Oryctolagus cuniculus: one gene and its partners. The protein of the gene in region 5 interacts with the protein of the main gene of each other region in a pairwise test. Links are inferred from orthologs where the notes say so. Each region holds a gene or a part of one and is shown on either strand. Other genes may lie near its edges.

Region 1 (4,143 bases), on a different chromosome or scaffold from region 5:
AGTGACAGCGGCTCCTCCACTGTCCCTGTGCTTCCCAGCCCCTCAGATGAAGGTCTGGTCGGTCACTCCAGGGACGGCAGAGTTACAAAGAGCTTAACCCAACAGAATTCTGCACCTGGTGTGTAAGTCAGAACAGCTAAACCTCCTGTGACATCAACACAGGATATTTCTTACAACATAGTAAATCCAAAACGTCTGGATAACCCTTGTGAACAATACTCGCAGAAGTCTTCATGCAGTACCATTTTTCACAATCAGCATAATGAGGAAGCCTGAATCCAAAAAGCCCTATATTTCAAATGGCCCTCCATTAAAGAAACTCAAAATAATGCACATACAGCGCATGCATTTACAGGAATGTGTACTCCGCAGAGTCACATTAGGACATTAACTTGGATTCATTAGAGTTTAAAAAAAAATAAATAAAAGCAGGCACACCCTTGGCTCTGAAACACAGACCTCCCCTTCCAGTTAGCAGTCTGAAATTTCCCTTTTCACACACACAGACTCAGAAGAGTCTGAGCTGACATTTGCAATATATGCCACTTGCCAAATCCCACACTGAACAACTGGATTATAAAAATGGCATGTAGAGGGGAAGTGCCCTGAGCACTAGCTGCAGCGGAACAGAAGAGAACACTGGGAATCATCTGCTGACCTTGGTGGCCTCCCCTTCCTGAGCCCTCCCCAGTCGCATCTGCTAAAAAATACACATGCACCAAAAACATATAAACAAACATAAACGCAGCCCATTACCATCGCAATCCCATTAGTCACGCCTGGAGATTGAACTTGGCTATCTGAATCAAGACATCTGAACACCAATTTACCATCACTCATCTACCTAATGTTCCTTAATAAGGAATCCAACTAGCTTAGTTGTATCTGACTTAAAGAAAACGCAAACGGTGAAAACAAACACAGGTTAAAGGAATCATTTACTACCCATCAGAAAATACATAAATTCATTTTCAAACGACTCCCTGAATCTGAACGCCAGTATTTTTTTTATGTCTCTGGAGCATAAGAACCACAATACATTAACCATCTCATTTTATAAAAATGGTTTCCTATAGGAAAAATTCATATTCTGTTTGTACCGACCAAAGACAGATGAGGGCATTGTAAAACGTCATGTCATAGCTGTGCAGGTCCGATTAATAAACAGCAACTTTTCCCATACGAAGAAATCGATGTCTAGCTGGGCTGCGGTTAGAGGTTATCGACGATCCACAGGAAGACGCTGCGACTCCCACACCAGCTGCACCAGCGTCCTCGAACATCCCTGGGCCCTGTCCTGCCTGCAGCCCCTCCCTAGGGCGCCGCTGGTCGGAGATCAGATTCCGGTCCGCAACCCTCAGCCTGCATTAGTGCTGCAGGGCACCCCTCCGTCCCCGCACAGCCCAACGGGCAGGGCGGGAGGGGGTCATCCCGACCGAGCGGACTGTCCCCCCCTCCTGTCTAGGTGGCCTGGTCCTCCCGACGCCTCAGCGTGCAGCTGAGGCAGCATGACGAGGTAGAAGCGCCGCGGGCCCCGCCAAGGGCAGCCCGGGCCCTGGGTGGGGCCGGGCGGGGGCCGCAGGCGCCGAGTGGCCGTGCCAAGCCCCGCCGGCGAGACCCGGGGAAGCTGCGATACTGCAGCATTGTGCTGCATCACGGCGAGAGACGCGAGCCATCCATCTTGCCAAAAAGGAACATCCCCGCCCAAACAAACCCCACCGAACCCATTTCCCCCCCTGCCCACGCTCGCCCTCTCCTCTCTCTCTAGCTGGCCAGGCTTTGGATGAGAAAAATTACGGACAATGCTTGGTGTACCGATCCCCGCTCCTCCCCCCATCTGATAGCAGCACCTGGCACCTTTCCTCCCACAAAAACAAAGGGAGGCTCCCCCCCCCGGAAAAAAAAAAAAAAAGCAGGCCGCGGGCGTGGTGTGGGGGTGACGACGAGAGGGGCGTCCAGCCCACCTCGCAGGGCAGGCCAGAGGGTCCCCGCGCCGGTACAAACCTGTTGAAGGCAGGGTGGCAGGAGCTGCAGGGCGGGCGCGGCGGCGGCTCCGCGCCCCGAGGAGGCTCCCGCCCAGCCCTGGGGGAGCGGGGGCGGGCGCGGAGGGGGCGGCGGGCTGGAGGAGGGGGCGCGAGGGAGGACGCCGGCAGCCGCCTCCGGCTCAGCTGCAGCGCGGCGCAGCCCGGACCACGCCTGGCCGCATCGCCGGTACCGTTACGCGCGCAGCCGGGCCCTGTCAGCGCCGCCCCCGCTCCCCACCCGCCCGGCCCGAGGCCACCAGAAAATCCCGCACCAGCCCCGGGCCAGGGGCTGCGGCGCCCCGCCGGAGGGAGAGAGGGAGGGAGGGAGCGGCGGCGGCGGCGAGGAGGGATCGGCGCTGCGGACCGGGAGGTGGGGAGCGAGCACGGGTGTGTGTGGCCGCCTCACTGCGGAGCTCGCCGCCCCCCGCCCCGCATCACCCTAGCACCGACGAGCACCGGAGACCCAAGCTCCCCGCGTCGCCCCCGCCCGGACTCTGCAGGCTCCCCGCCCCCACGCCGCTCCCGGGGCGCAGGGCAGCGGCGTCCTCCGGCCCAGGGCCCGCGCCCCTCCTCCCGCCCGCCCGAGAGGCAGCCCCAGTGAGTTGGCATCTTCTTGCCTGGGGGCCTCTACCTACCTCCAGGGATGGGGTGGGGGCGCCGGGGTCCCGTCCTCCTCCCGCTCCTCGGCGGCCGGGCGGGTGGGCCGGGAGGCGACTCCGCGGGGCTGTCCGCGGCTGGGGCCGGGGCTCACAGGACGGGACCGGTGGGCGCTACGGCGCGGGTCTGCGCGCTCGCTCCGGGAGGAGAGGCGGCCGAGGGAGGGACTGGAGGAATCCGCAGCCTGCAAGGCAACAGCTGCACTGATTCCGGGGGCTGGGCGGGAGCGCGGGGGGCGGGGGGAGGAGGGAGCTGGCAGGGAGGGGGCGAGGGGCGGGGAGAGGGAGCGCGGGCACAGGCGCGGGCGCGCACGCGCGCGCTCTCCCGCACGCCCTGCACCCGCCTCTCCGCCGCCTCCCTCGCTCGCGTGGATCCTCCCTTTCGCCTGCCCGCGGCTCCGGTCCGCAGCCCCGCCGCCGCCCACCCGGCGCCTGCTCTGTGCGGGAGCCGACCGCCAGGCGCGTCCACGCACGCAAGCCGAGGTTTTTCCGGGTCCCGGCGGCGGGGACCAGCCAGGACGGGGTGGGCACGGCTTGCCGCTGCTACCCGCGCGGAAGGACAATGAGGGCTTTGTCCCCACAGCGTGCGAGGGCCAATTTCACGTTTAATTTGAGGCTAATTCGATTATCGCCATGGAAAGGGGCAGCCTAATTTTCTCGTGACTCGTGCAACCTCTTTGCGCCCGCGCTGTGTGCGTTTAGGACACGATCCGGGACGGCGTGTTTAGGCAGGTCTGGGACCTGCGTTGGCTCAGCAGCTCCTGGATTTGGGTGGCGACGCCTTTTGGGTTCGCCCGGCTTACAGGATGGCGGCGACATCTCGGTGGGAACCCTTGAGCTTTGCGGGAGGGAGAGGAGTTTCTGGGCGAGGATGATGGGGTCCTCCTCTGCCAGTGCTTTGTCACCTGCCTTAGTAGCACAGCCCACAAGTGGTTGGCCCGACTCCTGCCTCTGCCGCCGGCGCGCAGGCTCTCCTGCAACCTGAAGCCAGGTGCACTTCCCTTTGGGGCTGCTCTCGGTAGGGTCGCCCTGGCGCCGGTGGGCGACCTCCGTCGGTTCGAGGACTGGCACTGCTCCCGTCCGTGTTCTCGGAGACGTTTCCCCGAGTGTCTGTCAAGGGCCAGCGCCCCTGCCCCCACGGGCTGTCACACCCCATCAGCCTCAAGGCTACGTTAGGAATTCTGGAACCGCTGCTATCGGAGTAGAAAAGATGGTGGCATCACCGTGACCACGGATAAAACGCTCTGTAGAAAACACGGTCTGGGGAAAGTGACATCCTGACTGCTCTGTAAGGTGCCCACCGTGGGTTTCCAAGTGGGTTGACGAACGCCAGGGCTCTCCCTCCGCCCCACCCCGATAACCCAAGAACAGAATGTGAGAGGGTTCCATGGTTTGGACCATGCCTCTCTCAGATCAACAGAACCCTGCCTGATGGGTTGATATTTACAAATAAGGCTAAACAG
Region 2 (3,500 bases), on a different chromosome or scaffold from region 5:
TTTTAAGATTTTTTATTTATTTATTTGACAGGCAGAGCCACAGAGAAGAGACAGAAAGGTCCTCCCTCTGTTGGTTCACCCCCCAAATGGCTGCCGCAGCCGGAGCTACACCGATCCGAAGCCAGGGGCCAGGTTCCCCATACCTAGTCTCCCATGCGGGTGCAGGGGTCCAAGCACCGGGCCATCCTCCACTGCCCTCCCAGGCCACAGCAGAGAGCTGGACTGGAAGAGGAACAACCAGGACTAGAACCTGGCGCTCATATGGGATGCCGGCGTCGCAAGCAGAGGATTAACCAAGTGAGCCACGGCGCCGGACCCCAAGAGTTTGGGTATTTTAAGTATAACGGAAATCACTGAGCTTTAAGCAGGGAGTGGTGAAATTTGTTTTGAAAATTCTTATTAACTTACGGGTAGAGGGTGGGAGTGAGTGAGGGAGAGAGAAAGCACTCCCTATTTACTGGTTCCAAATGCCCACAATGGCCCTGGGCTGAACTAGTCTAAAGCTGGGAACTCAATCCAGGTCTCCCACGTGGGTGGTAGGGACCCAATTGTTTGCACCATCACTGTACAAATCACTGTCAGGAAGCATTTGCAGGAAGCTGGAGTGAGGAGCTGGAGGCAGGGCGTGAACTTAGGCTCTCTGATATGGGACGTGTGCATCTTAACTGCTAGGCCAGTAACAGTAAAAACAGTAAAAAACTAGAACCAATGTCAAGGTCTACCAATAGAAGACTGGTTGCATATACATATGGAATGCATGCATCTAGAAAATATCTTCATTAAAATGCAGGGGAAAGGAGCTAGAATAACCTCCACTCCTCATCAGGGCTCTCTTGGAAGCCATGGACACAACCAAGACAAATAAAAGGCTGCTCCGTGCCACTGCTGAACTCTTCCTCATTGGAGAAGGCCTGTGTCCACAACAGCAGCAGGGTCTTTAGGCCCTCTCTCTTCTCATCCTCTTTGTTATTTGTATGTCCACTCTTCCACCATGCAGTTTCTCCTTAAATGTCTCACCTTTAGTTCAAACACAGGCGTATCAATGACTTCTGCACCGTGGCGCTTGAAGCAGCGGATGATGACATCAAACACCTTCTCCCGGACTGCCATCTGCCGGGGACTGTAGTCTCTTGTGCCCTTTGAGTTAAAAACAGCCAAGGAACCAGGGATGAGATTGAAAAACAAACATGAGTAAGTTATAGAAATATAAAAGGATGACTTCAAGAACGAGAAAAGCAAATCCTTCCCCAAACTTAGATCTTCCTACAGGCTGCTGGGCTGTAAAATGGGTACAGCTAATTCCCTATTAAGCCCACACCCATTTGCTGTCAGCCTCCCAGATTCCATTTCCTTTTCAACTTGGTTCTAGTTTCTAGAATTCTCAGAACTCTTTTCTCCAAGGAATTTTTCTTTTTTCTTTTCTTTTCTTTCTTTCTTTCTTTTTTTTCTTTTTTTTTTTTTTTTTTGACAGGCAGAGTGGATAGTGAGAGAGAGAGACAGAGAGAAAGGTCTTCCTTTGCTGTTGGTTCACCCTCCAATGGCCGCCGTGGCCGGCGCACCGCGCTGATCTGATGGCAGGAGCCAGGTACTTCTCCTGGTCTCCCATGGGGTGCAGGGCCCAAGCACTTGGGCCATCCTCCACTTCACTCCCTGGCCACAGCAGAGAGCTGGCCTGGAAGAGGGGCAACCGGGACAGAATCCGGCGCCCCGACCCGGACTAGAACCTGGTGTGCCGGCGCCGCTAGGCAAAGGATTAGCCTGTTGAGCTGCGGTGCCGGCCTCCAAGGAATTTTTCTAAAAACTCTTTCTGGGAATAATAGAGTATTTCCCTGCCTAACACAAATAAATACCTGCCTGATAACAAGAACATAACCAATTCAAACTCAGTCAGCTAGTTGAATTTTAAACTCTACAAGCGCTTTTCTCTCGACATGACTATTCTTTTGAATCCTAATTAATAGTACTATTTGTTCTCTAATTTGCTTCTGACAACAGCCTTAAGGCATGGGCAGAGTTTTTTTTCCCCTCTGAATATCACAGCCCACACCCCCCCTTTTAAAAAAGATTTTATGTATTTATTTGAGAGGCAGAGTTACAGACAGTGAGAGGGAGGGAGGGAGGGAGGGGGAGAGAGAGGTCTTCCATCCGCTAGTTTACTCTCTCCAAATGGCCGCAACGGCTGGAGCTTTTTATTAAAAGCATTACTACAGTCAGGAGCAATTTACAGTTTATCTGACATGGAAGCAATTAGGTACCCAATTCTCTCTTTTCTCACTCATAACTTATTCTTCTATTTATTTGTTTTTTTTTTCTCACTCTATTTATTCTTCTATTTATTTGGTTTTACACCGGTGCGTTACCAGAGCACCAGACAAAGGAACTGTGGTGCTGTCTGCAAGAACTCTTCCAGGACGTTAACTTTTCCGCGACAGCTTAGGCAGAAGGATTCTGTGGCTGGATTACAGGACACTGAGAAGCCAGGCATTACTTAAGGCCACTCAGCAAGCGCGTGGCAGTCAGGACTAGAACTCTGTTCTCCTTCCAGATCAGTTTCTACTCAGGGCTTTTACCACTTACTCCAGCACCTTTTGGTCTCAGGCCCTCGTCCCACTCTTGCTATTTATTAAGGTTCCCAAAGGGGATTATACTTATCAGTATTTGCTGTATTAGAAATTAAAACTGCAAAAATGTAAGGACATTTACTAGCTCTTTTAGCAAATAATAAATCCATTACAGATTAACATAAATGATACTTTTGGAAAATGCAACCATTTTCCCAAAACAAAAAGATTTAGTGAGAAGAATGGCACTGATTTACATCTCTGCAAAGCTATAATGTCTGGATTGTCAAATATGCTTTTTATATTCAATCTATTGCGATGTTGTTTGAAGTATGTGAAGAAAATCTAGCCTTATACACATAGGTTTTTATAAAAGGAGGAGCATTTTATAAACTTTTCAGCTAAACTGGTGTATGGAACTACACCAAAAATTCAACTAGTACTAGTTTCTTTCTTCCTTCATTCCTCCTCTACCTCCCTCTCCCTATCTTTTAGGTTTTATTTATTTGACAGGCAGGCAGAGAGAGAGAGAGAGAGAGAGAGAGAGAGAGAGAGAGATCTTCCTTGCACTGGTTTACTTTCCAAATACCCGTAACAGCCAGGGCTGGGCCATGTAAAAGTCAGGAGCCACTAACTTGATCCAGGTCTTCCAGAGACATGGCAGAAATTCGAGGACTTGGGCCATCATCTGCTGCCACATTAGCAGGAAGCTGGATTAGATGTGGAGGCAGCGGGGTCAGCATTGTGGCATAGTAGGTTAAGCCACAACCTGCATGCCAGCATCCCATATGGGTACTCGTTCAAGTCCTGGCTGCTCCACTTTTGATCCAACCCCACAATGTGCGTGGGAAAGCAGCAGAAGATGGCCCAAACACTTGGGCCCCAGCCACCCACATGGGAGACCAGATGGAGTTGCAGCTTCCTGGCTTCAGCCTGACC
Region 3 (3,500 bases), on a different chromosome or scaffold from region 5:
ACTTAGTTACCTTCTTTTGTAATCTAATAACAGATGTCCATTTTTTTTCCAAAAGACCAGCATACTTCTTATCTAATTCTTCATTCTAAAGAAAAATAAGAGAACTTTAAAAAATTAAAATATGATGGTTCAAGCCAGACATCATTTAGCTGTGAGCCCAAAATTAATGAAAAACATTATACACCAAAAAGGAGTAAAAACAAAGTTAAATGAAAAGTAAATCACATTAATAACAAATTGACTATACTGATGTTTGAATAAAATCTACTCACTGAATAACTACAAAAAGTACAACATACCATATCTAGTTCAGCTTCCTTTTTAAAAACGGAATATGCCTCTTCATAGCCATTTGAACGAAGATAATCTGCTATAGCTCGATTTCTGAAAGAAAACAATTTTAAATGACTCCTAAAAACTTCTCATTTTTATATTGAAGAAATAACATTTTACTTAAAATCTCGTTAACCTGAATTAAATCTTCAGTTGAAAACTATACCCTCCAAATCATACAAGTAGCCGGATTTCATAAAAAAAGGACCTCGTTACCTGTACGACACTCAGCCCACTATAATACACCCATAATACTACATTATTCTTAAGCTTTACCTCACAAGCTGTGAACACTCTACAGACCAAGATATCGCTTATGTAATAGATATCAACCTGTGATACTATTCATCAATTTAGCTTCTTACTCCTTGTTACTCACTCAAGGGCTTGCAGCTGGAAGTTAGTTTTGCAGAGAAATGCTCGATAAAGTTCTAAGTATTTTTATATTAGAATCACCTTAATCCAGAGTGAGTGAAAACAAAGCATGAGCTCTAAACAGTGCACTATCACAGCAAGAGACAGTCCCTAAGAATTAGGACTCGGCGGTTAGAAAAGCTGAAAGAGCAATGCCTTTTCCTGATTGTCTCTGTCTCAGTCCTCTCAGTGAAGGGAAAATCAGCTACCTCCCTAACAACCTATTTCAGTTTTGTTACTCATTTTTTGGGGGCCTTAAGTCTTACTGTAATAGATAGTTTTATCTGGGATTTCCTTTAAAATATATATTTTTTAGAATATTTATTTGAAGGTTAGAGTTACAAAGAGAGACAGAGAAAGGTCTTTTATCTACTAGCTCACACTCTCCAGATGGCTGCAATGACAGGGACTGGGCCAGGCCATAGCCAGGGGCTTCCTCAGTTCTCCCCTACAGGTGTATAGGGCCCAAGGACCTGGGCCACCCTCTGCTGCTTCCCCAGGTGCATTAACAAGGAGCTGGATTGGATTTAGAGCAGGGATGCTGGCACCGCAGGCTATGGCTTAACCCACTGCACCACAGTGCTGGTCAGAGAAAATGGTTCAAAATCGAAAGCACTAAGGTGAAGGACTTTTACCTGCAAACAGATCCCTAGACTGAGCTTGGATTTAGTGTGAAATAACCACACTGGCAATACTCCAACTGTTTTACTTAAAACTATTTTAACAATAACAAATAAAATCCTTTGCTTTCTAATATAATCAAAAGTTCATGAAAATGCCAGGATTCGATTTTAAGCAGTTTAGCTGACTTCCACACTTTCACTGTTCTTCCCCCTTCCCCCCAGAATAACTTCAGCAGTTGTAATATCAGTCATAGCATCCTACCACTATATCCGTAAAATTTTAAAGTTACTCTGAATGCTATCACTGACAAATTTTTAGGGATGCAGAGATCACAAAGCGTGCAGTAGGAGACAGAGGTGGCAGCTGTTTATCCCAGGTAAAGAAACACAGAGGTTTTGACTAGCAAGTGATGGAGCTGGGAATGAGAACTTTCAAAGCCAAAATGATTGCAACAGTTTTTCATATGTACTGTAGAATCTTAAAAGTAGAAAATAAATGTTCTGGCAGTTCTATAATTCTCCTAACTAATTGTTTAAATAAGATAATATGGTTAAAGGCTGACAAACAGATCTTTTCTTAGTTGATCCATTAAGAGATAGAGTGAAAGGCTGATCTTGCATATTCAAGATTTAGGACACTGCATGTTCTAAAAGGCTGCAATGCAGTGGCCCAATGAATCATCAAGGCTAAGCGGGTGCTGTGAAGATAACAAAAAGACCAGGCAGAATTAAGCATGTAGGCGTACACCGCTAGGGGCATGCCAGGAGTCACCATTAGTGCCTTTCACCAAAAAATAACCCTTGCATCACCCCAGGCTATGCCCTTTCAGACAAACATCAAGATGAAACTACATGGAAGGTGGGTGGAGCTGTTTGGTGCAGCAGTGGAATGTCACTTGGATACCTATATCCTGTATCAGAGTGCCTGGGTCTGTGTCCTATTCTGGCTTTCTGCTGATGTACACTGGGGGGGTGGGCAGCAGATAATGGCTTGGATAGTAGGAGTTCTGTCACCCATATAGGGGACCAACATTGAGTTCAAAGTTCCTGGCTTCAGCCTGGCCCAGCCCTGGCAGTTGCAGGCATTTGGGGAGTGAGCCAGTGGATGGAGGAGCTGTATCTGTCTCTCAAATAAATAAAAATTGATTAAATAAAACAAGATTGGACATGAATTGATAATTTTTTTTAACAAAGCTAAATAGTGCTGGGGGAAGATGTGAATAAAGCCTATTTCAAGGGCAGAGACATAGAGATGATCATTCTGTAACCTGCTGCCACAGGACATCAACTAAATGTCAGGACAGGTAATGTAATTTCTTTTTTCTTTTCTTATTATTTGGCAGGTAGAATTATAGAAAGAGAGAGAGAGAGAGAGAGAGAGAGAGAGGTCTTCCTTCCGTTGGTTTACTCCCCAAATGGCTGTCACAGCCGGCACTGGGCCGATCCAAAGCCAGGAGCTTCCTCCCGGTCTCCCATGCGGGTACAGGGGCCCAAACACTTGGGCCATCCTCCACTGCCCTCCCAGGCCACAGCAGAGAGCTGGACTGGAAGATGAGCAACCGGGACTTGAAAAGGCACCCATATGGGATGCTGGCACCACAGGCAGAGGATTAACTGAGTAAACCACAGCGCCGGCCCCAGGTAATGTAATTTCTTAAGTATGTTACAGTAGCCCACAGAGTCTTTGGGGAAAGGGCAGCAAAGATATGTTGAGTTCCTCTCTGCAGGTTTGGTTCCCGCCCCCCCCCCCAGAAAAACTTTATTCATCACACAGATTAAAAAATAATTCCCATCCCCTAGAAATGAGCTTTAAAAAAAAACCCACAAAAATATTTCTCCCACCTCCCCGTTCCCACTGCATCCCATTACTTCCAAATAAAAGGCAAAGGAGAAAAAAATAGAAAACCAAAAAAACACACTCTCTTCCCCTCCACCCCAAACAAAATACTGCAATTCCCCAAGGGAAAAGAGGAATTTACAATGGAACAGCTGGGAGCAGAATGGAGATCCTCGGGCTACAGAATCCTGCAGACAGACACTCAAAACAGAAAAACAAACACAAAAGGACAAAAAAAAATACACCACCAGGCAATCTGGAGGGACAGGGAGCTGGAAAAAGAAGGGTGGGGC
Region 4 (4,193 bases), on a different chromosome or scaffold from region 5:
CCAGAGGATCTGGGGCAGCGCAGTCGCTGGACCCGCGTCTCGCAGGTGCCAACTCCACAGAAATGAAATTGAATTCCCTTGACCAGAATGCAGAGAAATTTCGAGAATGTTAGAGATGAGATTGCATAGACAAATTTCCTGACGAAATTCCTTACCTGGTTACGTACTGATCGGTTGTTTAAAAAGGTGAAAGGTAAAGAGTAAAAGAATCCGCCGGAGGCATCGGTGCTTAGCTGATTCCGAGTAAAGTTCACAGGCCCAACAGCCGCAGCCCTCCAGACACAAGACGCACCCGCTCCTACCCGGCTCCCAAAACCCAGACTGGCCAGAACCCCACTTCTCCGTCCCCAGCCCCTCCTTAAAAACACCACCGGCCAGATGAGCTTGATAAGGCACACACTCGCGGCCAAGTGTGTGTTCTCAGGCTCTGCTTCTGTAGGGAGAGGCCGAGCGCGTTCACCGGTCAAGGGCTTGCTTCTGGACTGTCAGCAAGGCTGAAACCTGGCAAGCCCCTGTGCTCGCCCCTGCGCTGCAAGCCGAGGAGGAGGAGACCAGGGAAGGCAGGGCTCTCTGCTCTTAAAGGCCAGGGTCTGCCTGGTGGTCACTGGCATGCTGGCTTCACCAGAACTAAAAGGCCAAAGACTGTGGGCGAGACCAGGGTAAGAAAAACAGAGCCCTGCCCTGGTGGCCGCTGCCCTCCCAAAGTTCCCCAGCGTCTGAAGCGTGCAGAGCAACTGAGAAGCCTGGGAAGGCTGCCCCCCTGCCAGGGGCACTGGGAGCAGGTGTGGCCACCTCAAATGGCTCAAGCCCCAGGTAAGCCAAGGTGCTCGGCGGTCAAATGGTAACGGCAAACATGGGCCCCGATGGCCACCGGGGACGACTCTGCATGCCCTCTTTCCTTCAGAGACCACAGCACACCCTGTGTCGCAGCAAGGAGCGTCACAGTCAGGAAGAAGACGGACACCGAGGGGCAGGGGCCCAGGCTTCCCTTGGGGCACACCCTTGGAGAAAGGGTAAGCAGGGCAGATTGAGCCCAGGCTGAACCAAGGCCGTGGCGGGTGAGCGAAGACCCCCGTCTGCTCCAACGAAGACTCCCCCACCCCAGCTGCCTTTAGCTCTGCGGTCGTGTCCTTCCCTGAAGCGCCCTCCTGGTTCACAGGGATCCAGGGAGCGGCTTCCCCAGAAGTCTGTCTCCAGTGGCACCAGAGCTGGAGCTCGCAGCCAGCGGTCATCCCACCCTCTCGGCAGGCTTCCCCGGGATCCAGGAAGCCGGGCAGCGCCTACCAGCCCAAACGGCACACTGAGGTGCTGGCTTTGAACGAAAGCTGCTGACACTAAACGCTGGTGCACGCAGCCATTGGGCGGCACAGCAAGAGGGAACACATTCTCTGCACTGAGCTTCCTCTTTACGCCTAAATGCCTGCATTAGCCTGGATCAATAAGCCCCATAACCGTTAATCCATGGCCATCCAGGCCAGCGAGAGACACCGACAAAGAAGTGCCGCCCAAGGATGCCACCGCCTGCCTGTGCACATGCATGTGAATTCCAGCCGGAGGGAGAGGCAGGCACAAAACCACCACCACCAACAAAAACCACAGCAGGGGCGGGGGGAGCAGATCGGGGCAACACACAGCAGTCCTAAGGGGCTTCTGCCCTGATGGGGAAGACTGTCAAAATGGCCTGAGAGTGACATGTCACTGCCAAGATGATGGAGTGCCCGCGACACTCCCCAAGTCAGGCGTAGGATCCTCCTCGCACACCTGCAATGCAGAGAACGCTGCCCGTGTTCTGATCCACACTCCAGCCCGAGCTCCCCGCAGCTGAAACCAGCCTGGACTTGTGTGGCCGCGGCCGTTCCTCTGCACAATAAGATTATTGATGCACAGCGGCATTGCGTGATGGCAGGGAGGAGAGCAGGGCAGAGCCGGGGCCGGGGCCGGGGCCGAGCGAGAGGGGAGGAGGGGAAACTCCCAGCCCACAGCTTACCTTTTATTTGAGCCTCGTATTCAGCGATGATCTCTTTGTCTTTCTTGAACTTAGTTTGAGATGACATCTTCCGACGCGGCTGAAGGCACTGGCAGGCTGTTGGCTTTCTTTCTCCTTTTCTTCCCAAGTCCTCTCTCCGGCTACGGTAATCACACTGCTCTGGTCGATTTCACAGGTTTAGGGGCTAATCTCTTCCACTGAGCTGCAGAGCAGGGGCCCAAATCCTTCTCCTTCAGGGAGGAAAATTCTCTTTTCTTGCAGAGAAATGGCTCCAGCAGCTTGCTCTGGTCAGCTCCTCTTGCAGAAGACCCACCCTAGGAGCATGGTAACCTGCCCCAGATTTTCAAGAATTTTCTTCCAAAAAAAAAATAATAATAACCAAGAGTACTCACACACAAACACACACACACATACACACTCATGCGTGCATGCGCACACTCACCCAGACACGCTTACACACAGTTGTAGTGTGCACACACACATCCACACTCACACACACACACCCTCACATGCACACAGTACACCCGCTCGCTCACTCACACACATCCACGGAGAGGCGGGGCGCCTCCTGGGTCGTGCAGTCAGCTCCCGGCTCGCTCTCCAAGGCTAAGGAGATGGTCAGGTTGCCAGAGGGCCGGTCATCTCGCATCCTCCCTCCCTTCGGCGCCTCGGATCTGATGTCCAGCGAGGATCAAAGCCAGCAGAGCAAGCTGGAAGTTTTCGCACTGCAACGCCGAAGCTCCGCGAACCCCTGGGCCGACTGCTCGTCCTGCAGGGCCGGCAGCAGCGAGCTCTCCCCCACCGCCTCGCCTCGTCACTAGGCTCCGCCTCCCGGATTTTATAACAACTGACACATTGTAGCCTACAGGAGAGCAGAACTCACTGCAAGCAGAAAGGGGAAGAAGCACTCACAAAAGGAAAGACAGCAGGAAAACGAACAGGGCTGGAAAGGCCTGGGAGCCTCCCGCAGATTCCAGCCGCCAGCCACTGGGTCAGGGATTTTTCTTTCTAAAACAAAAGATCCCCCTTTTCTTTGCTGTGTGCAACTGCACGCAGCCTCTCCATAGATGGCGTGTGCTCGGTCTGGGGTTGAGGGGAGGGCCTGACCCACGTGGCCAAGGGCACTGCTGTTTGTTGAGCAATTACTTGGTGGCAGGGACAATGCCCAGAGTTCCAGACACACAGCTTCGCAAAGCCTGTGAGACCAGATATGCAAGCAGGACCTGGGCCAGTGGCTTGTGGGGTTTTAGACAAATTCCTGACTTGTTGAGCCCCATTTTCCTCAGCAGTAAAATGGGCTCTAGGGGGTGAGGGGCAGGGACTCTTCCACTTATGCTTCCAGCAATTGTCTCCCAAAAGCTGAGTCTACGTGCAGCACCACAGTGGGCACAGGAATACGAAAATCAAAATACACACACACACACAATCCTGGAACTCCAGGGCCTGCGAATCACACAGCTCTGGGAGCCACCACCATTCACAGACTATTCTCAGCAAAAGCAGCCCTGGAGCACAGCATGCTGTGAATGGTGCCCCTGGAGCTGTACCAAGCTAGAGGCCCTGGGAAGGGAAGACGAGAAATCAACATAATGAGTCAATTATATAATAGGGTAGGGAAGGCTAAGTGTTGTGGGGAAAGAATATTGCCTGGTGGGGGCCATTCAGGAGGAGGGGAACTCTTGGAAACATCAAGGAAGAATGCAAAGCTGGAGCCTGTGTCCTGGCACAGCGAGCTCAGCTGCTGCCCGCAGCGCCGGCACTCCATATCCGAGCACTGGTTTGAATCCTGGCTGCTCTGCTTCCAATCCGGCCCCTTGCTAACGCACCTGAGAAAGCAGCAGAAGCTGGCCCAACTCAATGGGCCCCTGGAACACACGTGGGAGACCCCGATGGAGTTCCCAGCTCCTAGCTTTAGCCTGGCCCTGCCCTGGCTGTTGCAGCCATTTGGGAAGTGAACCAACAGATGGAAGATATCTCTATCTCTCTTTCAAATAAATAAAAATAAATAAATGAATCATTTTTTCAAAGGCAAGACCTCAAAGCTAAGCTGCAGCCAGCACGGAGTAAGCACTCAATAAATGACAGCAATTCTGCGTCTCCAGTTATATCCCCCGCCAAACTCCTTGGGGACAAGGAGTTTGTGCCCACCACAGATGTAAGCATTGGTCTTTTACAGAGGAAGGGGTGGAGGAGTAGATATAGGAAG
Region 5 (3,500 bases):
GTGCCTCATGGTAAGAGGAAATGGAAATGGTTACACGCTTAAGAAGGGGGAAGCGGCACGAACAACATAATCAAGACTAACTGTGAATTTTGTGGTAGTATTTACACTCTTGGTAGGTGACTGACAGATCGGTGGCTGTAATTTTGATTTGGTATTATAACAGTCAAGACAGCAATTAACCAGAAGGCAGGACTATACAGAGTTGAACTCCAATAATAATGCAAAAAGAATTTATTTGGGGTGGATAAAAAGAGCTGAAAATGCTAAGCATTCCGTGGAAAGTTAAAAGAAAAAGGGAATTGGGGCTGCCACCTGTAGTGCTGGCATCCCGTATTGAGTTCAGGCTGCTCCACTTCCAATCCAGCTCTCTGCTATGGCCTGGGAAAGCAGTAGAGGATGGTCCATGTCCTTCGGCCCCTGCATCCATATGGGAGACCTGGAAGAAGCTACTGGTTCCTGGCTTCGGATCGGCCCAGCTCTGGCCATTGTGGCCACTTGGGGAATGAACCAGCAGATGGAAGACCTCTCTCTCTCTCTCTCTCTCTCTCTCTCTCTCTGCCTCTCTGTAACTCTGCCTTTCAAATAAATAAATAAATCTTTAAAAAAATAAGAAAGGAATTATAGGATCAAGTGAAGGCATTTTCTCCAAACCGAAGTACAGCTCCTCAAGGAGTTAAACTTTCTTTAAAGTTCAACCCAGGAGCCCAGTGTTGCCTCCTTATGAAACAATGTCTGAGTAGAGTCATGCTTACCAAATCCTGACAACAGTAAATGCCTATAAATATACAGTCTTTGTAAAAGATTTCTACATAATTTAGCTTTAATGCAGAAGTAAGACCTCTCTTTGGAAGTCAAACTCCAGCGCTCTCACTCTGGCTATACTGCTATAATTTATTGTGTTGCTTTTTGACTGGGAATGGAAGAGCTTCCTGTTTCTTTGGAAACAAGGTGATTGCTTTGCCCACCTATGCCAACCTGGAGAATGTGGTGATCCTGGTAACATACCTGATATTGTCACAAGGACATTCAATCCCTCTAGCACATCCATCTGCTGAAATCGCCTCCGGTTGATCAGATTGTAGACTTTGCCTTGCCCACTTCGGTCCAAGAGCATCAGGCCATTTTCAGTCCCCACCAGAAGGTTTACACCTGCAAATTTTAAGAAGTAACCCAAGACTGACTTTTAAGGGCTTTAAGCCTTCTGCCTCCGTGGTCCCAATAAAGCATAAAAAACTGTATCTTGTAAATATAAATCAATGAGCGAGCAGGTGCTACAGTAGGGAGTGTAGAAGTAGAAGTTCTTGCACAGTAATTATATCACTGTCCCTCTGGTAATGACATTACAAGGTTTTTTTAAATGAAGCAGTAGCAGCCTTCATTGCCTCTAGCTGTTTACTACCCTGTATAGAGACTCCTTGTCAAAAGGAGCCTAAGGCACAGCCATGCCCGTGTTCTTTTTCTGGAACAATCGCCTCTTTCTTGACTCTCCTTAAGACTCCCCCTTCAACCAGTGTCACTCTGATGGTGAGATCCACAGGCTCTGCATGCTTGAGAGTCAGCTCATTAATGAGTAGTAAAATAAGAGAAAATAAAGCACCAACGTACCCCACAGAGCCGCACAGAGTATTTCTGAGTTGAATCGTTTCTTGTATTTTCTGATTTCTGGTGTGTCGCTATGAGGCCGGATGTTGGTTGGGTTCACATTTACCACTGAGATCTTTCTTGCTTCATTAAGTTTGGCCTGTTCTTGCCTAAGAAGTTCACTAGTAAACAGAGCTTTGAGAAAAAGAATCAGAGAAATCAGTGGTATCTTAAAGATAACCAATGGAGAAACGGAGCAGGGGCTTCAAAACACTATTTCTCCTGTTTAGTGCGTGTTATAATAAAGGCACATACACTCTGAGACTACATTTACTTTTCACTTATTTTTAGTAGCATGAAGTATAAGTCATTCGTAGAAGCAGTATTTTATCCACTAGCAAGACAGGCTTATAGACATAAGCATTACTTGGCATGTTTAGAGAACTGATAATAATCTCAAAAAAGTAAATCCACCTTCCCTACCTCTTGTAATATATGCAAGAAATCTTGCTTTTTGAAATTCAACATCACTTAAAAAACTGGCCTGAGATAACTTTGATGATTAGTTAGTTGCAGAAGTCTAGAAAGCAAGCCCATCCTCTAAAATCTGCCAGACTTTTCACGGTGGGAAGCACACACCTTAAACTCAGCACAACTCAACACGCACTTAGTATTAGGTGTCTACTGCGTGCATAGAATTATACCCAGAAACTGTTTTTGGGAAATAGGTGGTAAGTTCACAGGTCTCTGAGGAACAACTTTTCCTAGGGTTCCTGGATACCTCTGGCTTCCTACCAGCAGCAAACAAACAAAAAAAAAAAGGAAACAAAAATTTTGTTTTAGGAATTCTATAAAAATAACCACAAAATCTTCCTTTTTAAGACCAGGACCAAGCAGTAAATGGCTTAATTATTGAACTGATGACTAATTTCTATATTGAGCTTTGTCAGAAAGAAATCAAGCTGTTTCTAAAACACTGGGGCCTTCTGCCTACCTGCAGCTGACGATTCCTCATCCTCTTCGTCTTCATCGGTGGGAGAGGTCTGGTATACTCGGGGGTCCACGAAGGGGGTGAAGGAGGCTTTGGTGCTGCTCCCCATGCCATACTAGTCAATAAACAGGAAGACCAAACAGAGCAGATAAATGAATACTGCAGGAACAGACAACGTAACAATATTTGCTGGGCTTTCAACAGATCACAAGGTCTGTTCCACTGTTCACGCACCAACCCCCCAATCATTGTGGGCACCTCTCCAGCTCCTCCTGGTAATGGTTACTCTATAGCTTCTCCTGTGTCTGTTCTTTTTTTAATTTCTTTTTTTTAATTTTTTTATTTTTAAATTTTTTTTTTTTTTGACAGACAGAGTGGACAGTGAGAGAGAGAGACAGAGAGAAAGGTCTTCCTTTTGCTGTTGGTTCGCCCTCCAATGGCCGCCGTGGCCAGCGCGCTGCAGCCGGCGCACCGCGCTGATCCGAAGGCAGGAGCCAGGTGCTTATCCTGGTCTCCCACGGGGTGCAGGGCCCAAGTACTTGGGCCATCCTCCACTGCACCCCCTGGCCACAGCAGAGAGCTGGCCTGGAAGAGGGGCAACCGGGACAGAATCCGGCACCCCGACCGGGACTAGAATCCAGTGTGCCGGCGCCACAAGGCGGAGGATTAGCCTAGTGAGCCGTGGCGCTGGCTCCTGTGTCTGTTCTTTACAGGAAAGACACCTCACTTCTCCCTTCTCACACTACCTGGAGTCCAGGAATTTGAATATGCTAAGAACCCATCTATTTGTTTTTATTTTTCATAAGCAAATCATTTAAACCTCCTTTTATTCAAGTAAAACATAGTTCGACAAAATTCATATAAATATGAACCTCAACTGTTGACCTTGAAATTGCTAAAACCTGAGGTTTCTGTCACTGTCCTGGAA
Region 6 (3,500 bases), on a different chromosome or scaffold from region 5:
TAGAGGTCATTTGATTCCATGACACAAAGAACACAGGCAGCCTCTCCACGTGGAGGAGGAAAAACAGAAATGGTTCTCCCCTAGGGCCTCCAAAGACTATGCAGTCCTGCTCACACCTTGATTTTAGCTTACACTTCTGATCCAAAGAACCGCACGTTCATAATACATTGCTGAAGCTCCCATACTTGTGGTACTCTGTGGAAATGCTCCCTCTACTCTTCCCCCTCCCCGCCCCTGTCTTTCTGTCTCTGTCTCTGTCTCTCTCTCACATACACACACACACACACAGATTCCCCTTAACAACCCTGAAATGTAAGATAATATTAAAGAAATGAAGAAAAATGGACACCAAAGGTAAACACATTTGCTCTCTCGTGACTGTGCCGCAAGCTCATTTCTGGAGGCTAAGTAGGAACTCCCAGAGGGAAAGCTGACAGAGAAGCAGGAAGGATGGTGATGGCAGTGGTGTCCTAGAGGCCAACACATGGGAAAGTGCGCCCTCTGCCATCCTCCGCGCCTCACTGGTGACTAGTCCTGGGCTCTGCTAACCTACTGTCTCCTTCACTTAACGTGGCCTCACACCACAGGGCTCCAGAGCCGCGGACGGCAGGCAGGGCAGCGGCATGGCTGCTGTGCCCACACGCTGGCATTCCACTCTCTTCTGCTGCCTCTCACCCCTGACCTGGGCCTCTCTCTTCAATTTAGTTTCCTCACACTTTCCTCGTTTTCAGAATACTCCTTTATTTTTGTGAGACTATCTTCCAGTAACTCCAGGAAAAGGCTATTTGTGATGTAAATTATTAAGATTTTCAAGGTCTGAGGACATCATTTTTACTTTCACACGGATGCACAGGATGGAGTATGAAATTTTTAGGTTGGAAATCTGAGAATTGTGAAGGCTTGCTCCACTGATGTTTTAACTGGGGGCAGGTGGATAGGATTCCAAGGAGAGCAAAACGTGCACAGTACTTGGGAATAAGACTAATGAAGACAGCAGACCTGGCTGCAGAAATTTTCTATCTTTGCTGAAGAATATAAAAGACTAAATTACACAGACAGGCATAAAATTCACAAAGAAGAATAACAGGCATAAAAGAGTCACGGTAATTTTTTTAAAAGAACAAGAAAGAGAAATTCGCCCTACCAGGTATCGGTACTAACTTAACACTAAAATGATATGGTATCCAAAGAAACAGAACCAAGACTGACCGCAGGTACAGAGAGCCTGGAACATATGGCTGCAGCAGATCAACACAGGAGAGACTCTAGGGAAAATGGTATGGCTACAACTGATAGCCAGGGGAAAAATAGAATTACACCCTCACATTTCACACAAAAATAAATTCCAAATAGATGAAAAATCTAACTACAAATCGCAAAACCTCAAAATAAAAAAATCTAAAACATAAATGGCAAAGTGTCAACATCAACGAATCTGAGTAGTTCATGAATGTTAAGTCACTTTCTGTAGTTTTACACGCTTGAAACTGGAAAACTCCTGAGTCATCTGTAATAATTACCCTGTATCCCATGTCTTCCACAACATCACATGAAGAGGCATTTTCGTTGGTGTGCCACACTGTCTCTTTGATGCTGCAGCCATACATAAACACATTCTTCTTTCGGGAATGGCCATGATAATCACAATAAACCTTGAAAAAATAACAGATTTTTAAAATAACAAGGTTTCAAATTCATATACTGCTAAGGAAAGGTAAGTAATATCACGCCAATGAACAAGTCTGTGTCCCTTCGTCGTTTTATTGTAACATAACCACTACTTAACAAGTAGAACCAATAAAAGTAATGACATCTAGTTTTGGAAAGGATTTATAATTAATTCTAGAATTGCTAAATGCTTTGAAGATCCTACATCAAGCAGCAAGTCCCACTCTACCTTTTGTATCTACTTTCCATCACTCAAAAAATAATCAAATCTACAGCTAGGCAACACTGCCTCAAGACTACTAAAACATTTATTAATTTAAAAGAATATAAAAATGTTCTCATGAAAAGTATCATAAAAGAGGTATGGTGTCAATGCAATTTTTAAGAGCATCATTTTTAAAATGAAGAATAAAGGACAGACTCACATGTCAATTTTACCATTCTGCAAAGTTTTTCCACCTTCCCCAAAGAAAGATGAAGTAATTTAAACACTGATAAAAGAATATTCTAATGAAAGGCTGCTGAAAACACAAGGAACATACGTGTGTGTGTGTGTGTGTGTTTGTTTACAGAGTTCAGGACAGTCTCACAACACACCTGTACCACATTTCCCATGTATGAACTGGAGACATCAGTATCTGAGCTGACAAAAGAATCCAGAAATACTCCTAAGTTTGCACTAGTGAGAATTTAGAAGACATACACCATTGCCTTAGTACTGTTCAACAGTGAAGTTAAACCCCCAAAATTCATAACCAGGGATTATCAACATTCATAGACCAAAAAGAAAAGCAACCTGACAACGTAATACAAACACAGTATATTAATCTGAAACCAAAGTGACTACACGAGAAATTGATAATAAACAGACATCTTAAGTAAATTGCTTTTGACATCATTTAAACAGAAAATACGTACAAAATACTGAGTTACTGATCAACAAAAACAACATGGATTAGACTAAGTAAGAACAAACACTGCCACCTACCAGGGGTAAACGCTTCACAGCGGCCAGGTACTGCAGCAGCCCTTTAGCGTGGTAGATTGTCGGGTGCAAATCTGGGTTTGGACTCTGCCACTGTCGGTTTAAATCCTCTCCACTTAAAGAACAGCGGTGACTACACACACAGAAACACAGAGATGGAAAACACTGCTAACAGTACATCTTCTACATACTTCTGACCCCTTCATGATTTTATTCCACTAACTATTTCCAATAGGTGTAGGTGGTGGGCTCTACCCAATACATGCTATATTCATCAGGTACACAGCTACTCCACTATTTGCTGCGTGCAAGATCTTGTGTCGCATGCATTAAGCTGTGGTTTATAATCAAGGTTTTCCAACTACATAAAAAGGTCTCAATTCTGGGGTTTTGTTCCATTTATGAAATGGATTAATGGTCACATCTTCCATTCTGATTACATCGTAATCATTGGCTATGCCGACATTCTTTATATTGACTGCATTAGTTGTTTTCTAAGAGTGCTGAGCCCTCTTTCTGAGAAGAATAATGAGATAAACAGGATTCACATTATTGTAAAAATTCAAATACATTTTACTTATCTCCAGGTATTAAATATTAAAGCCACCAAGCAAAAACTTAAGCAAACCATCAGGTAGAAACAGAAATATAAATAGAATTCTGACTGGTTTATATGTTTCTGTATTAAAAACAGACATAAAATTAGTTCCATAACTGTAACATACATATTAACTAAAAAGATACTTCCTTTTTTAAAAAATTCAGTAATTCACTAAAAAATGAGCAACATTCATGTTACTTCTATTGAATAAACAAGATGTGGTATTGTTCTCTTTGGAAATGCTCA
Region 7 (4,012 bases), on a different chromosome or scaffold from region 5:
CCCAGGCCGTCCCCCGTGTCTTCCTCCCATCCTTTAATGCTTTCATATTGGAAAAGCAATTCCACAGCCGCCCCTCAAGCCCCTCTCCCTTCAGGCGCTCCCCCATTAGGCTCCTGAATTGCACTCTCTCCTATTCGCAGGGGAAGCCCCGGTATCAGCTGTCCCCAGCTCTGCAGGGACGCCCCCATAGGCCCCTGTTCCTGCTGGCTCGTCCCAGAGGGGCGCTAAGGGCGGCTAAGAATAAGGCCCACCCCGTGCCCAAGTGAGTACCATTCGGGGGGTGTCCATTTGTTCATTCTCCCACCAGGGGCCTACGACAGTACCCAAGGGTGTTCACAGCCCAGGAAGGGGCCACTCACTCCAGACGGTGAGCAAAGAGCCCCAACGACTTGGGGGGTAAGGGCCCTGGCTGGAGCAGGCCAGAGGGCTGCCGCGGTGCCCATGTCACGGGCATCGAGCTGGGCTCCAGACCCTCAGCGGTGACCGGCACTGCAAAGCTGACACACCTTCCTAAGGGCCAGATGGAAAGGCCTGGGGGTACAAGGGAAGGATTGTTGGGGGGGGGGGGGGGGGCACTGCAAGAGGGCCTCCCGAGGGCACGGCTGAGCTGCATCCCAAACGGCACAGGAGTCTACGCAGCCGGCGAAGGCGGATCTGGGGCAGAGCCCAGCAGCAGGCACCCTCGGCGCTGCAAGGCCACACCAGGGCCCTCGCTCGGAAACCTGTGGCCAGCCAAAGCCCGTGCTGCTTCCCTCCAGGCCGAGTCCTCCGCGCCCGCGTCGTCCGCTCTGAGAAGCACGGGGAACACTCGTCCTGCCGCCCAGCGACGCGAGGGGAAGCGGGAGACCCGGCGCCGGGGGTCCCGCGGGGGCGGCCGCGGCCGGAGCCCGAGGCGCGCGCGGCCTCCCCCTGCAGCGGCTCCTGCGTCTCCCGGCCTCACGCGCGGAAGCCGAGGCCGCGGGCCTCGCCACCACGCCCTCGGGCAGGGCTCGGCACCTCCCGCCGCCGCCGCCGCTCGGACCCCTCACCGCCGCGGGAACCGGGCCTATCGCGATCGGGCCACCTCCGCCTTCCTCGCCGTGACGAATCGGCGCCCGACTGGGAAAGCATCCAAATCCAAGGAGCTTTGTGGAACGTACGGGGCCTGGAAAAAAATCCTTGGCTGTACTAAGCGTCGCCGCGTCCTCGGGAGCGGGTTTATTTTTTTTCCGAAGACAGTCGGTGGGGCCTGAGAAGAAATTGAGAAAAAGTGTGGAAAGTGCGAGCGCGGAAGCTCCGGACGTGAGGGGCGGGGCGTGCGCGGGACAAAGGGAAGCGAAGCCGGAGCTGCGGGCGCTTTTTCTGCCCGCGGGTGAGTGTTTCCTAGTGGGTCCGACCTGGTCTGGAGGGTGGCAGGTCGCGGTGCCTCCGTTCGGCGGGACCCCGGGTCCCCGGGGGTTGCTGGGGGTCAGGCTTGGCTGCGGGGCCGGAGCCGAGAGCCGGTGAGGCCTCCTTGAGGCCTAGCGGAGCGCGCGTGGGGAGGGAGTCCTCACGGGGGGCCCTCCTCAGGGGCAGGATGGCCCCTTCCGGCCACCCCGAACCCGGTCAGGGCGCCCACGCATACCCCGGTTTGGGGGAATTACTGGTAAAGTGCATCCCCCGCGGCAGGCGTGGAGGAAGCGACCTCCGAGGCAGCCCTGAGGGGCGAGGCGAGCCCAGGGCCCTCAGCCCCGGAAGGGACCCCCGGCCCGGGGCCCTGGCCCCGAGGACCCGCGGGGCCGGCTTGGCGTGAGCGGACTTGGCCTGGGTGCGGACCCCAGCTCCTGCCGCTTCCTAGCGGCGTGGTTTCGAAGAGTTACTTTGAAGTCTGCAAGACTCCCCTTTCTGATCTGTAAAATGGGACAGCAGGGTTGCTCTCCTAAGCCTGTCCTGCCTTATTCCACAAATGCTTGCCGAGCGTCTGTGTAGGGCCAGGCCGCAGGGAGGGCGTCAGGGGGTGCACAGGGGCCCTGGCCCGCTCTGAGAGCCTGCGTTCCGCCGGGGGCGAGCAGTGTCTGTGAGTGTATCTTAGCGTGAAGCGCCCAGTGCAGGGAGCTGCTGGCTGTCCCGTCAGGGCTCCACACCGCAAGGCCTCCTGGATGCTGACAGCTCGCCGGCTGAGCAGCAAGGAAATTTGCAACAAAGTCAGAGGTTCCCGCCGGGCTTTAAAGGCAGAGGGGGAAAGCACCCTGGGCTCCGACCTGCACCCTGGTGCTGCAGGTAGCTCCTGCTTATCTCCCGTGAGGCTGGATGAAGGCGCTCCAGGATAGGAGTTTGTCTTCTTTCCAAAACACGGATTTTTTTTTTAAACCCCTCGGGACTGTTGATGTGAAGGACAAGCTCTGGCCCTACTGTGAGCAGGGAACCCTAGGACAACGTCTATCAGGAATCGCACTAGAGACTGGGATACGGTGACGAGAGCAGCACCCAGTCCAGCCATATTGGCAGATGTTTTGAAAAGCTACAGTAAGCAGTATCCTAGCTCTGCATGGGAGTGCAGATGAGGGAACAGTGAATTCAATGTATTTCCAGCGAGTCCGAAGCTATCTGCCGCTTTAAAAGAATGTGAAACGCATTTAGTATACCTGTTACCTTTTCCGCTGCCTTCGGGAATACAGAGCTGCCCTGTTCGAACAGAGGTTGCTAGACCAGAAGCCAGGTGGAACTGACCGGGCGCTGGCAGCATCCAGCAGGCCTTGTTGGTGTGGACAGGTGGCACAGCACAGTGTGTGACCACTGCCTTCCCAATTACCAAGTGTTCACCGTGCGAGAGGTGGGGCAGCTTAGGACAGAACCTGAGAGTATATTTCTGATACTTAAATATCCCAGGAACTTACTCGAGTCATTTAATTCTGATGACCCAGATGACCTACAAGGACTAGTAAAATACGCGCAAGGCTTGAGTACTGAGAGATAATGTAGTTTTACTCAAAAGTACCAATCAAACTGCCCTCTTTAGGGAAACATTCTCATGCTTGCTGAGTTTTGATTCTCTTTTTTTTTCCTTTTTTTCCTTTTTTTTATTTTAGTGTCTCAGATTCATTCTTAAGGAACTGAGAACTTAATCTTCCAAAATGTCAAGTAAGTTTCAATTTTTATATTTATCAATCTATGTTAATAAGAGACTAATGCCCTAGCAAGTGGGAATTCCAAAATACTCTCATTTTTTTCTTCAAAACAGGACCATTGGTAGTTTTGTTGCATAGTATTATATCTCAGTTGTTTACAAGAAGTTATTTATTTTCTTTCAAACAGAAAGACCATCTTATGCCCCACCTCCCACCCCAGCTCCTGCAACAGTAAGTTTTAATTTTCTTGTTAATGTAATAGCCGAGTCTGGCCTTGATACAAAAACCCAGATGTCTTCCAGTGACAGTCACTCAATCATCACAGTAACAGGATGAAAATTCAGCTAAAAAACAGACTTCCTTCTAAATAAAATAACTCTTTGCCTCTGATCTTGAACCAGCCCCAACATTTAAAGAAACATACTATGAAATTCCTACCTCCTATGCTGAATTTACTTGTTTTATTTTTTTTTTTTCTTAATGGGAAATAGTTAACAAGTTTAACACTTCTTTCTCAGAGTCTTTAAGTTGATATTGAGTGAGTGCTCATTCTGGCTTTTTTTTTTTTAAACCTAACCTTCAGCTGGTTACATTTTTCTCTCCTTTCTTGTCTCTATATATAAAATTTCCATATTAAATCAAACAAAGCTCCTACTTCTATAACTACACTCATTGTAAATCTTTATTTTCAAGCTGTTCAAGTGAGGATTTCATTATCTGTGGGTCAGATTTTGCTATGAAATTTGACTCCACGCTGTAATTAGATTTGATTGGCTTGGGAATTGAGAATGTTTCAAAGTATCTGCCTGATAGCGGTGAACCGGCTTCTTCACCCAGCAAGCTCTGACCCAGCTTGGTCAGCATGTAAAATAGTTGCCCAACCCATGAAACAGATTCCACAGCAACTGTTAGGCCTCCCTGAAATG

Evidence for each region.
Region 1: the proteins of TNIK (region 5) and SPTBN1 interact in a two-hybrid assay, tested with the Homo sapiens proteins (2 studies listed by BioGRID and IntAct). The link is inferred for Oryctolagus cuniculus from reciprocal best matches to the Homo sapiens genes TNIK and SPTBN1.
Region 2: the proteins of TNIK (region 5) and HARS1 interact in a two-hybrid assay, tested with the Homo sapiens proteins (2 studies listed by BioGRID and IntAct). The link is inferred for Oryctolagus cuniculus from reciprocal best matches to the Homo sapiens genes TNIK and HARS1.
Region 3: the proteins of TNIK (region 5) and PAFAH1B1 interact in a two-hybrid assay, tested with the Homo sapiens proteins (2 studies listed by BioGRID and IntAct). The link is inferred for Oryctolagus cuniculus from reciprocal best matches to the Homo sapiens genes TNIK and PAFAH1B1.
Region 4: the proteins of TNIK (region 5) and SRGAP3 interact in a two-hybrid assay, tested with the Homo sapiens proteins (2 studies listed by BioGRID and IntAct). The link is inferred for Oryctolagus cuniculus from reciprocal best matches to the Homo sapiens genes TNIK and SRGAP3.
Region 6: the proteins of TNIK (region 5) and AGTPBP1 interact in a two-hybrid assay, tested with the Homo sapiens proteins (2 studies listed by BioGRID and IntAct). The link is inferred for Oryctolagus cuniculus from reciprocal best matches to the Homo sapiens genes TNIK and AGTPBP1.
Region 7: the proteins of TNIK (region 5) and SMARCE1 interact in a two-hybrid assay, tested with the Homo sapiens proteins (2 studies listed by BioGRID and IntAct). The link is inferred for Oryctolagus cuniculus from reciprocal best matches to the Homo sapiens genes TNIK and SMARCE1.

Annotation. Positions count from the first base shown.
Region 1 is NC_091433.1:148,185,219-148,189,361, forward strand, and holds the start of SPTBN1 (spectrin beta chain, non-erythrocytic 1), read right to left. Parts: upstream 2,801-4,143; 5' UTR 2,660-2,800; intron 2,119-2,659; exon of another isoform or gene 2,005-2,118; intron 1,562-2,004; exon of another isoform or gene 1,105-1,561; intron 1-1,104. UniProt on the Homo sapiens protein: Fodrin, which seems to be involved in secretion, interacts with calmodulin in a calcium-dependent manner and is thus candidate for the calcium-dependent movement of the cytoskeleton at the membrane.
Region 2 is NC_091437.1:28,312,302-28,315,801, forward strand, and holds part of HARS1 (histidine--tRNA ligase, cytoplasmic), read right to left. Parts: intron 1,138-3,500; coding exon 1,018-1,137; intron 1-1,017. UniProt on the Homo sapiens protein: Catalyzes the ATP-dependent ligation of histidine to the 3'-end of its cognate tRNA, via the formation of an aminoacyl-adenylate intermediate (His-AMP). Plays a role in axon guidance.
Region 3 is NC_091448.1:48,125,360-48,128,859, reverse strand, and holds part of PAFAH1B1 (platelet-activating factor acetylhydrolase IB subunit beta), read right to left. Parts: intron 385-3,500; coding exon 300-384; intron 86-299; coding exon 11-85; intron 1-10. UniProt on the Homo sapiens protein: Regulatory subunit (beta subunit) of the cytosolic type I platelet-activating factor (PAF) acetylhydrolase (PAF-AH (I)), an enzyme that catalyzes the hydrolyze of the acetyl group at the sn-2 position of PAF and its analogs and participates in PAF inactivation.
Region 4 is NC_091441.1:117,330,229-117,334,421, reverse strand, and holds the start of SRGAP3 (SLIT-ROBO Rho GTPase-activating protein 3), read right to left. Parts: upstream 2,801-4,193; 5' UTR 2,055-2,800; coding exon 1,988-2,054; intron 1-1,987. UniProt on the Homo sapiens protein: GTPase-activating protein for RAC1 and perhaps Cdc42, but not for RhoA small GTPase. May attenuate RAC1 signaling in neurons.
Region 5 is NC_091435.1:109,213,870-109,217,369, reverse strand, and holds part of TNIK (TRAF2 and NCK-interacting protein kinase), read right to left. Parts: intron 2,688-3,500; coding exon 2,576-2,687; intron 2,373-2,575; coding exon 2,286-2,372; intron 1,777-2,285; coding exon 1,606-1,776; intron 1,150-1,605; coding exon 1,006-1,149; intron 1-1,005. UniProt on the Homo sapiens protein: Serine/threonine kinase that acts as an essential activator of the Wnt signaling pathway. Recruited to promoters of Wnt target genes and required to activate their expression. May act by phosphorylating TCF4/TCF7L2.
Region 6 is NC_091432.1:136,379,261-136,382,760, forward strand, and holds part of AGTPBP1 (cytosolic carboxypeptidase 1), read right to left. Parts: intron 2,787-3,500; coding exon 2,657-2,786; intron 1,653-2,656; coding exon 1,521-1,652; intron 1-1,520. UniProt on the Homo sapiens protein: Metallocarboxypeptidase that mediates protein deglutamylation of tubulin and non-tubulin target proteins.
Region 7 is NC_091448.1:21,886,080-21,890,091, forward strand, and holds the start of SMARCE1 (SWI/SNF-related matrix-associated actin-dependent regulator of chromatin subfamily E member 1), read left to right. Parts: upstream 1-1,212; 5' UTR 1,213-1,351; intron 1,352-3,047; 5' UTR 3,048-3,092; coding exon 3,093-3,099; intron 3,100-3,273; coding exon 3,274-3,317; intron 3,318-4,012. UniProt on the Homo sapiens protein: Involved in transcriptional activation and repression of select genes by chromatin remodeling (alteration of DNA-nucleosome topology).